2 linked regions of the Macaca mulatta genome follow. The protein of the gene in region 1 interacts with the protein of each later gene in a pairwise test. Links are inferred from orthologs where the notes say so. Each region holds a gene or a part of one and is shown on either strand. Other genes may lie near its edges.

Evidence for each region. The genes of interacting proteins can lie anywhere in the genome.
Region 2: the proteins of KLC4 (region 1) and KATNAL1 interact in binary tests that used the Homo sapiens proteins (3 or more experiments, as listed by UniProt). The two-hybrid records come from large-scale screens. The link is inferred for Macaca mulatta from reciprocal best matches to the Homo sapiens genes KLC4 and KATNAL1.

Annotation. Positions count from the first base shown.
Region 1 is NC_133409.1:139,052,727-139,058,172, forward strand, and holds the end of KLC4 (kinesin light chain 4), read right to left. Parts: intron 5,148-5,446; coding exon 5,048-5,147; intron 4,856-5,047; coding exon 4,803-4,855; intron 4,571-4,802; coding exon 4,500-4,570; intron 4,279-4,499; coding exon 4,170-4,278; intron 3,686-4,169; exon of another isoform or gene 3,603-3,685; coding exon 3,462-3,602; intron 3,231-3,461; exon of another isoform or gene 3,204-3,230; coding exon 3,088-3,203; intron 2,428-3,087; coding exon 2,364-2,427; intron 1,712-2,363; coding exon 1,661-1,711; 3' UTR 1,239-1,660; downstream 1-1,238.
Region 2 is NC_133422.1:10,105,304-10,111,070, forward strand, and holds part of KATNAL1 (katanin p60 ATPase-containing subunit A-like 1), read right to left. Parts: intron 4,656-5,767; coding exon 4,528-4,655; intron 4,137-4,527; coding exon 4,031-4,136; intron 1-4,030. UniProt on the Homo sapiens protein: Regulates microtubule dynamics in Sertoli cells, a process that is essential for spermiogenesis and male fertility. Severs microtubules in an ATP-dependent manner, promoting rapid reorganization of cellular microtubule arrays.

The sequences.
Region 1 (5,446 bases):
GGAGTCCTCGCGCGCCGCCGCCGCTGCCGCCGCCAAGCCCCGCCCCACGACGCCCCCTCCCCTCCGGCCCCCGCACGGCGCCCCGCCCCCTCGACGCCCCCTCCTCGCCGAGACGGGGAGGAGCTCAGTAGGGGGAGGGGTCTGGAGAGGGATGGAGAACAGAGAGAGCAAGGCTCAGGAGAGCGCAGGGGACCTGAGAGGGGTAGGGGAGTATTTGTTGTACCTACCACTGACTCTGCAGGGATCCGGGAGAACCTAAGTGACTTGTGAGATGCCGTGGACCCTGGGGAGAATGGCCCATTCTGTGCATACCTGGAGGCTCTGGCCAACAGTTCCCCCAGAATTCTCCAAGTGGGGGCAGCGGAAGAGGTGGGCCCCACCCACTCTTCAGCAACCCAAAATCTTACAGGCAGACCCAGAACAGCACGGTGTCCTTAATGTCCCCCAGCAGAGTAACCTGAAGATGCTGTGTAGCCCGGAGAGGGGCTGAAGGGTGCATGACTGGGGTCTGGTTTGGCTCTAGACCAATCTGAACCCAAAGGTAGAAACACGCTGGGTTCTGAAAGCCAGGCTGAAGGCTGCTAAACTGACAAATTCATCCCAAGTCCATCTCCAGGCAGTCTGGGCTGTGTCAGGGTATGGCCAAGTCTCCAGCTGTGGGGAGGCCCAGCACAACCCTTGTTCCAGGCACCCCCCACCCCCCGCGCCACCACCCCCACATTCTTTCTTTGTTGTGAAAGCAGCAAGGGGTGTAGGAGGCGGGTCAGGAGGAGTCAAGCTTTAGAAGATGGGCCCCAGCTGCTGCTCAGGCCTCCAAGATATGCTGAGAGGGGATGGATAGTGCCTTGTCTCCCCTCTGGCTCCGGAGGGCCCCCCAGGCCTGCTTAGTCCTCCCTTCCCCCAAGCAGCTGGGAGAACGAATGGCAGCCACAGAGGGCCTCACAGCCAGGAGAAGTGGCGCCAGGACTCCAGGGTCCTGCCACATGGCCACCACATGTCCCTGACAACCCAGTCCACAGCACCTTTTCCTTGGGTTGTGGGCCTCCTTCTTCCCCATCCCCCAGATGCCTTCCTACAGGCCCTGCTGGAGATGATACAAACAAGGGGAGGAAGAGAAGAGAGATCCAAGAATCAACACTCCTCCTGCTGCCCCATCCATCACTGCACCTCACCCTCTGTGAAGGGCCCCAACACAAGCCCTGCTTCATACCCTCTTCAATCAGGACTCAAGTCGCAGAAAGGTTACCTGATTCTTTTATTTAAGAAAAGTGAAATACATGGACCTGAAGTGAGACAGCAGAGGGAGGGAATAAGAGCGGCCAAGGCAAGGCAGCTTGGCTGGCCAGCCCTCAACCCTCTGACTGAAAAGCCAGCAGCAGGCTGCATCTCTGAGGGCCATACCTGCTTTGTACCCACCTTGGGGGCCTCAGAGCTAGCTACTCTAGAGGACCACAGGGTGCGGAGAGGGTGTCCTGAGGGTCCTTCCTAAGAGGGATTCCTGAGGAGGGAGCTGAAACCCTAAGGGCAGCAGCAATCTTCTGGTTAAACTGCTCCCCTTCACTGTCCCACCTAGGGGTGGGGAAGAGCCAGGAGCAATGGGGAATGCTGTGAGGGCTATAGGGGTAGGGGGACCCAGCAGACCTGGGGACTGGGTTGAATGTCAGCTGCTTGAAGAGAGATCCATGGAGCTGGCACTGAGGCCCCGGGAGACCTGAAACAGACAACACTACCTCATCAGTTCAGGGACCTCAGCCTCCCAAAGACTGTCTCCTGGAGTCCATCCATCCAATGGCCACAGTGTATCTCTGGACCTAGGATCACATCCATCTCTGGACCAGTCTATCTCTGGACCTGGGACTTTGTTTAGCCTCTGCTAGGGTTTTCCAGAAGGCCACAATCTGGTGGAGAAGCTCTCTGGAAGAACCACATGAATACTGGCATATACTCTGAGTGTGTTCATATAAGAAGTCATTTGCCATTAAAATATCATTACTGTTTTCTCAGATGGGGATTATTTAATGCTTTTCTTTTTCCATTCTCATCTACTATGAAGGTAGCCGCAGGATGAAAAAATGAGTATCTACAAATAATTCTTAAATTATTCATAATTCCAAAGTACCAGTTTAAAGAATATTCCTATTTCCCTCCTTATTAACTTATTTGCTACTATGTCTGGCCTGAAACTGTCCGTTGGTGGTCATCACTCACCACAAGCTATCTGCCTGATTCCTTAATAACTGCAATCCCCTGGCTCATCATTATCCCAGATGACTCCTCTCCCCACTTCCCTTACTCCACTGGGCTTGCTCACTGGCTGTTCTTTTTTCATCACCCACCAATATGCTCACAAGCACTGCTCTCACCTGGAGGGGTGCTGCACTAGGTTGGTTCAGATAGTTCAAGGAGGCTGCTCGCTTCATGTTGCTGCTGCAATGGAAAATGGAAGAAATGAGGCCTCCTCTCTTCCTCCTGAGTGGCCTTAAAGCTGTGGGCCTCTTGAGCACTGCCACACAAAATCAAATCACTGCCTCCCCTCTATCCCCTCCCCCAACTTTTCTTATCTGCCTCAGGAACCAGTATCTCAGCTACCTTCATCCCCCAAGTTGGGGCACCCATTCTACCCAAACTCTCTCTCCATGGCTGTCCCATTGACTTCCTCCCTGTTTCTCTCCAAGATACCTCTCCAGAGATCAGGGGCCAAGAGGAGTTGGAGGCAAGGGCTTACTTTACTTGCCTGCTTTACCATATCTTTTTTTTTTTCTTTTCTTTTTTTTGAGACAGAGTTTCACTTTTGTCGCCTGGGATGGAGTACAATGGCATGATCTCAGCTCACTGCAACCGCCACCTCCCAGGTTCCAGCAATTGTTCTGCCTCAGCCTCCCAAGTAGCTGAGATTACAGGCACCCACCAGCACGCCCGGCTAATTTTTGTATTTTCAGGAGAGATGAGGTTTCACCTTGTTGGCCAGGCTGGTCTCGAACTCCTGACCTCCGGTGATCCACCCGCCTCGGCCTCCCAAAGTGCTGGGATTACAGGCTTGAGCCACAGCACCCAGCCACTTTACCATATCTTGACTTCCATGTGTACCTGGAAGGCCGAGGCTCAGTCCCCTGGAGCTTCCTCACCAGGATTTCACTGCTTCTGCGGAGCACATCCCGGATCTTGCCCAGAGAGCCACTCCTCTGCAGGGTCCCACTGCCATCCTGGCAGAAAGGGGTGAGCTATGAAAGCTACAGGGATCCCACACAGATGGGTTTCTGAGTCTAGTCCCAGCATTTATTCTGCACACATCCCCCACCCCCAAGGCCCAGTGACTGAAAATAAAAGTCGGGTCAAAAGCTTGCTCCCAGAGATACCCCTGAAGGGATACACTACCTAGACTGGGACAGCATAGCCAAGAGCCTCTCACCACCACCAGCAGGAGTGGGCAGGAGAGATGAAAAGGCAGTGATCAGACTTACCCCAGACCATTCCACAGCCACAGAAGCATCTTCACCTCCCTCGAATTTCACACTGTCCCCAGGGCCCTCCTGGGACGTCCTTCTACCATCACTCTCCCCAAGCAGCTCTGCCACCTTGGTCTGACTGATAGGGTCAGTGCCCTGGAAGGAAAAGGAAGGACCTGGGACTTCCCACTCCTTAACTCCTCAGGATGGGGCTTTCAAATTTTTTTCACCATCAGCCACTGCAAGGAAAACATTTTTCCTTGTGATGTCTCAGTATATGCCTACTGGAACAATACTCACCTTTTCTATTTGCAATGCATTGCTATATATAGATCTGTATATATTTTTAGCCCCATAGCCCACACTGAATTGATTTCACAACCTACTATTGAGACCCACAATCTGAGAAATTCTTGACTTAGGCTCTCCCCCACCTCACTCCTCTCACCCACACCACCCAGGCCCCTCCTTATGAAAGGGCAGGGTTTCTCCTTCATATCCCCATTTAGTGAATCTTGAAATTAGAGTCCTGACCACAAAGTGCAGGTAGGGGGTAAGAACACGCTTAAAAACAACCACAATCACAACACTGCCTCACTTTCCTCTCCCTCCTGGCCTCATCAGCCTTTCCGCTTATTCTTAGGAGACTCCCAAGAAACCTCAGCAGTCTCTCATCCCCAGGGCCCTTCCCTCAAGGACCTCCTTCCCCTCTGGGCTTCTGACCTGTCTCCGGGACCGCTGGGCACATTCCTCCAGGGTCTCAGCAGCCTCCAGCTTTCCCTGGCGCCTATACAGAGCTCCCAGGTTTCTCAGAGTAGTGTTCACGGTGGGGCTGTGGTGAGAAACAGACCAGAGAAGGAAGAGAGAATGGGTTCAGAAAAGAAAACATTTGTCTTCCAAGCAAGACAAGAGGAAAAAAAAAATAAGAAAATAGGAGAGGGAACAGAGCTAAAGCTCAGGGAAAGTCTACGGGAGGAAGGGAAAAGGTCTGGGAGGCCGGGAGCCTGGATGGAGGGCATCAGAGGCCAAGCTGGCTTTTCACTGGCAGCTCACCTGCTCACTTTGCAGGCCTTGTACCAGCCTCCATACTCAGCATAGGGTGTGCCACCCTCATGGTGCCGGCTCTGCAGGACAGAGAGAGGCCAGAGAGAAGGGCAGGGAGAGCCAAAGATAAGAATACAGAGATGCTGGGATGCACGGTGGCATGGGGCTAGGGTGCAGGCTGGGCTGGGGAGGACACCATGCATCTGGGGCTGGTGCTGGGGTGGGAAGTGTGAGTTGGGCTAATGGAAGGAGTAAGACAGAGACCCTGGTAGCCTTGAGCTCCCCAGGCTGGCCCCCCTTCCCCCCACTCACTTTGCTCATTTCCTCCCGCTCCTCTGCATGCATCCAGATGGGCTTGTGGTCATCTGGGGGTGATACACGGGGTGGGGAGGTTAGAGATCGGAGCTAGACAGTGTCGGAGAGCCAGGACCCAGAGGCTGACAGGCTGGACTGAAGGGGTCTGGCTCCCCCTGGGAACCACTGTGGCCTAACCCCCGACCTTTGGTCTGCATTTCTTTTCTTTCCCACAGCCCCTTCCCCAAGCCCTCACCACTCACCATCCACAGACCCAAACTCCTGCACATGGGCACGGGTCAGGATCTCTTTGTATAGTGTCTCAGCCTCAGCATATTTGCCCTGTTTCAGGTAACAGGAAGCCTAGAAGACAGAAAGGCAAAAATACAGGAACAAAACATGGAGGGAGGCAAGGTCTTTTTTTTTTCTTTTTTTCTTTTTTTTTTCCAGACAACGTCTTCACCAGGCTCAGGGAGTTCCACTTCTCGGTGTCTCTGTGACTTTCCCCAGAGATCTTTCTCACACCTCCTTCTCCAGGTGCAGGGTCAAGGGTATTCCCAGCCCACTCTCAAGAAGCTGTGGAGCTTCTATAACCAGAACGAAGCAAATCCTTCATCCGCAAAGGCAGCCCCAGAAATGGGCACAAACTTGATGAGAGTAGT
Region 2 (5,767 bases), on another chromosome or scaffold:
TATCCTTCCAGCCACACTGAACTACAGAAGATTCCTCACATATACTATGTTCTCTTACACTTTTCATGTGTTTGTACATGATATCCACTCTGCCTTAGAGCCTTTCTTCATCACATCTACCTGTTTAACTTCTATTCATCTTTCAAGTCTCAGCTCAGAGTCACCTGCTCTGGGAGGCCATCCCTGATATTATTCTCCACAGCAGACTAAGTCCCTCCTCCTCTCTCCTGCCATAGCAGTGAGTTCATTACTCTTTCAGACACTAGTCACACTGTCCTCAACAAATACTGCACTTAACACATGGCCTCCATTAAACACATGCTTATTCACCCAAAGACCATGAGCTTCTTGGGGGCTATTATTATTCACTCATTTTGGTATCCTCCGCACTTAGCCTATCACGTGACACAAGGTAAATACTCAATAAATATGTATTTACCCAGTGTAAATGTATCCAATGCTTACTAAGTACTAGGCCCTGAGGAAAAAAAATTGAATCTATCAGGAATCACACATAAATCCTCAAGAGACTTTTAATCTATTAGAAAATATAGATAGATAAATTATGACGCAGTCTAAGAAGTGCTAAGATAGGCTGGATGATAAATGGATAGATGGCTAGAGTCTCAATGTAAGAGTGATTCAAGCATATGTTTATACTTCAGCCACTGAAAATACAGTAGTCTATTTCTTGGGCATCTCCTTATTTTCTAAGTAAAATTTTAAATGTTGCCTTTATAAAAATCATATAATCTGATCTTAAAACTTATAAAGAAGGACCTCGCTATTATTCTGTTACAGAAAAGTTCATCCCAGAGATACATATTTTTGAAAAGGCACTTAATATCTCCGTCTTTAACTTCTCTCACAAGCTTCAGCCCTGTATTTCTTTTTTTTTTTTTTTTTTTTTTGAGACAGAGTCTCGCTCTGTCCCCCAGGCTGGAGTGCAGTGGCGCAATCTCAGCTCACTGCAAGCTCCACCTCCTGGGTTCACACCATTCTCCTGCCTCGGCCTCCTGAGTAGCTGGGACTACAGGCGCCCGCCACCACATCCGGCTAATTTTTTATTTTTAGTAGAGACGGGGTTTCACCGTGTTAGCCAGGATGGTCTCGATCTCCTGACCTCGTGATCCGCCTGCCTCAGCCTCCCAAAGTGCTGGAATTACAGGCGTGAGCCACCGTGCCCGGCCGGCCCTGTATTTCTAACTTGGTGCATTTCCACGTTAATATACCAAAATTTAAAACTCAAAAATAATTCCATATCTTTTCCCCCAGAAGCACCCCCTGCTCCTACTGAACTTTCAACATCAAGAACAATAAACCAGCGTCTTTCTCCTTCCTGAGCTCCACATTTATGTTATCATCACTATTCTGCCACAGACAAAACCCAATTATCTTTACCCCTGCCTTCTTCTTGACATATATATTACATCCAAAAGGTTACCAACTTCCTTCAGTAAATATCACTAGCATCTGTCCTTCCATTCCTAATTCATAATCACCATCCTAATTCAGGCTCTTTGAATTTTAAGCCTAAACTACTGCCAATCACTTCTGAACATGCTCTTTGCCTCCCATCTTTCTGTGTTCATTGCAACCAGACTGTTTTTTCCAACTCACCAGTTTAATTATGCTACCTACCTGCTCAAAGACGTCTCCCAAACATCTACAGAAAAAGAATAGAACTCCTGGGAAATAGTCTGGCCTCAACCTACCTTCCCATTGGAATCTTCCACTAATTTATGTTTTCAACATTTACATAATTCTACGGCCTCATTAACTCATTTTAACCTCACTATATCCTATGAGATAACTATTAGTATTCCCATTTTATAGATAAGGAAAGTGAGGCATGGAGAAGTTCCATAACTTGCTCAAGATCACAGAATAAGTGGAAATGGTTAGAATTCGTATGCACCCAGTCTGGATCCAGGATCTGTGCCCCTTACCAATATTCTATGCTGCCTTCCTTACAAAACGTCAACGCATCTATTCCCAAACACACTTACACTTTCTCACTATATTCCACTGCTCACATCATTCATCCCCCTCAAGTTCCTACATCTCCAAAATGTCTCCTCCAACACAGTGAAATCCTCACAACCCTACAAATTGCAGCTTGAATCCCACGTCCTCAAGCATAAAGCCTTCTCTAATCATGTCATGTTTGTGCTTTGCTGAGCTTTCCAAGCACATGTGGACTGTACCACCCATTAGGCTCTGCTAGTGCCTAATGCTGAAAGCGATCTGTAACTGCCCAACTCTCTGTTTAGGATGTCTCACAGCTCAGGGACTCTGTCTTGAGAAACAAGGAACCTTACATATAACAGGGCTAAGTAAATGCCTGAAGAATAAAGGAATGGTATCACACAATGCAGACGTGTGCTATGGAGGGAAAGGCACATATAAACATAGGAAGCTGAGACACATTGAATTTTAAATTTTCTAAAGGTCTATTATGGTTGTCACAACCTATTTGGACTTCAATTTTCTAGTCTGTCAAATAATGGGGATTTAAGATGATCTCAAAGACTCATTCCAATTCTGAAATTCTGGAATTTACGTTTTGAGACAAATTTTATAAACCTGAAAAATTTCTAAGGTCTCCTTATTTTCATGTATTCTTTAAAATACATTTATCAGGCTTGAAACAGTGGCTCATGCTTGTAATCTCAGGACTTTGGGAGGTCAAGGTGGGCGGATCACTTGAGGCCAGGAGTTCAAGACCAGCCTGGCCAACATGGCAAAATCCAGCCTCTACCAAAAATACAAAATTTAGCTGGGCGTGGTGGCACGCACCTGTAATTGCAGCCACTCCGGAGGCTGAGGCACAAGAATCACTTGAACTTAGGAGGCAGAGGTTGCAGTGAGCCAAGATCATGCCACTGCACACCAGCCTGGGCAACAGAGTAAGACTCAGTCTCAAAAACTAAATAAATTTATTGTCCCATTTTAGTAAATAATCCATTCTCACAAATCCCTAAAAAATTCAAACACGATTTTTAAAAAAATAATAATAGTTCTAGTCAAGAATTTTATTCTACTGTTGCAGAAAAAAAATTATTTGGTCAGGAAAAAGATTCTTTAGAAATATATCTTATTTTCTTAAGCCAGTTTGCCAATAAATACTACAAAAGCACAGCAAGGACAAAATAAATTCATAAAGTCAGATATTCTGTAATGATATAAGAAGTGGTTTTTTTTGTTTGTTTGTTTGTTTGTTTTTTTGAGACGGAGCCTGGCTCTGTTGCCAGGCTGCAGTGCAGTTGCACGATCTTGGCTCACTGCAACCTCCGATTCACGGCTTCAAACAATTCTCCTGCCTCAGCCTCCCCGAGTAGCTGGGATTACAGGCACGCACCACCATGCCCAGATAATTTTTGTATTTTCAGTACAGATGAGATCTCACCATGTTGGGCAGGATGGTCTCGATCTCCTGACCTCGTGATCCACCCTCCTCAGCCTCCCAAAGTGCTGGGATTACAGGGGTGAGCCATGGTACCCGGTCAAGAAGTTGTTTTTTAAAACACAGCTAAAGACCTCTCTTTAGAAAAAACATTTGTGAAAACTCAAAATATAGCAAATGTAGTCTATAAAACAGTCAACAATGAGCTTCAAGTCAGTGACAAGTAAAACAAAATAACCATCAATGAGAAATATTCCAACTTTTGAAAAATAACTGTTTGATCATACCTTTATTCTATAAGACTATGCATTATTTCTGCTTAATCTGCTTAACTTTTTATTTACAGAACCATATACCTAGAAAATTCTTAAAACTAATCTCTAGCTCAGCATCCCTGAGGGAAGTGACCTAAAGACTATATAGTTTCAACACTCCAAGCCCATCTCTCCTACTATGCAGATGTAACACATCACAATACAAATTCAAATCCAGGTGTTTTGGGTGTATATAAACTTCTCCCAACCTTTTCAAAATGGGTTAAATACATCAAAAATACAGCAATGCTGCCTTTCATTCTGATGCAAGCAGCATTCTTATACCAAAACCAATTTAAAAAATTCTCACCTTCCATGGCCTTCTAATCCCTTTGAAAAAGTCAGGCATCCACATTGGAAGAACAACAGCTTCCCTTAGCAACTTCTTAGCTTCTTCCAGATCTGCTATGTCATCCCTTTGAAAGAAGAGCAAAGTTTCATAATGTTTATTCAGGGATCTTTGATTTATGGTCAAACCTAATTCTTCTAATTTTTTTTACTTATGAAATTGTTCTCATATTAAGAACATTAGTCTAATTCTTACTGCATAAAAACATCAGTGAAAACATTAGTTATTAATGAGGACATGTCACTGAATTAACAACTTTTGTCAGTTATATATCAACTTCAAATTAACATGTAAAATGTCCTGGTTACATTCGACAGAACTCTCCCGTCAATTCTATACTTTCACATTACAGAGGTGGTCATAATCAGATTAATGAATAACAAGAGAAAACTCACACCAAGCCAACCTATAACTTGTGTTCTCCTCTACTTTAATTCAATAATTTCAAAGACTCTAACCAATGAATGCTAGGATTCCTGGATACAATGTCTCTTTCAAGGGCTTCCACCAGGTCCTTATCATAACCAGCACCATCAAATTTTGGCATTTCACCATCACTTGCACCGTCTTGCATATTCTTCCTTCCCTGGGGATAGGTATAAAAAAAAGTACTAGTCAGTAACTGGATAATTTAGTTAACATCATTACGCTTTGAAAACATTATAATGCCATCACTTTCAAAATTTTATTATTTTAAGGTAGTATTTTCTGATTACTCAAATGCCATTCTCCTCTATTTAATTCATCAGAAATACATGAACTGGTCAACTTTATTAAAAACTTCAAATCTACATTCTTGCAGGGACAGTTGCAGGTAAGACTAAACATCCTTGCTAGATCCCAAAAGACTGGGAAAGCCTACCTTTGAACTAGTAGATGCAGAAGATTTCCACCACTACTAGAAAACATTTTGAATATTAATGTAGAAGGATCTTTTTAAATGGTATTAAGACCATTAAAGCAATATGCTTTCCCCAAATTCTTCATTTAATAATATAGTTGTTTTAAAAGGAACTATATGCTATGCTTTCTATGGGGTTCTGCCAAGATTTACACAGCTTTGAAAAGCTTTAAATGAAATTTACTTATTTGCCAGAGACAGTCCAACTATGGAAATACTTCAGCAAGCATAGCCAAGTGCCTCCCCAGAGCTTTAGCCCCAGTTACTGCCTACAGTAAAAATGAAACAAGAAAATGGCCAAAATGAGTCAATCTCCTAAACTTCAACCTCAAAAGAGACAAAAGAACAAGACAAACTTCTCTAATCTCACTTCTGAAACAGTCAAAAAAGGCTCAATCATAAGTGCTGGGAGGAAACTAAATGGCTCCTTTGGATAGATGCTCTGGTTCCTTTAAGCCACTAGGTAAGTGACCAAACGGTATTCTGGTACTTCACCCAAAAAAAACACAAATTATTTCTGGGCAGTATGGCAGTAGTATTACATTTATTAGCAAATTTTCAGGAAGATTCTTGCATTCCAGATGACAGATATCAATATTGACACTATTAAAAGGAGTAAATTTTTGGCACCTACACAACAAATACATCAACATACTTAAGCTTAGGCTAGAGTCACATTTTATAGTACGGACAGGCCAAGGCTACCAAGTCATATGCAAACAACAAATCACTAGGAACTTTCTGTAATCATTTTAAAACTATTCTAGAAATGTATCAACAAAGGATACAACAGAAAC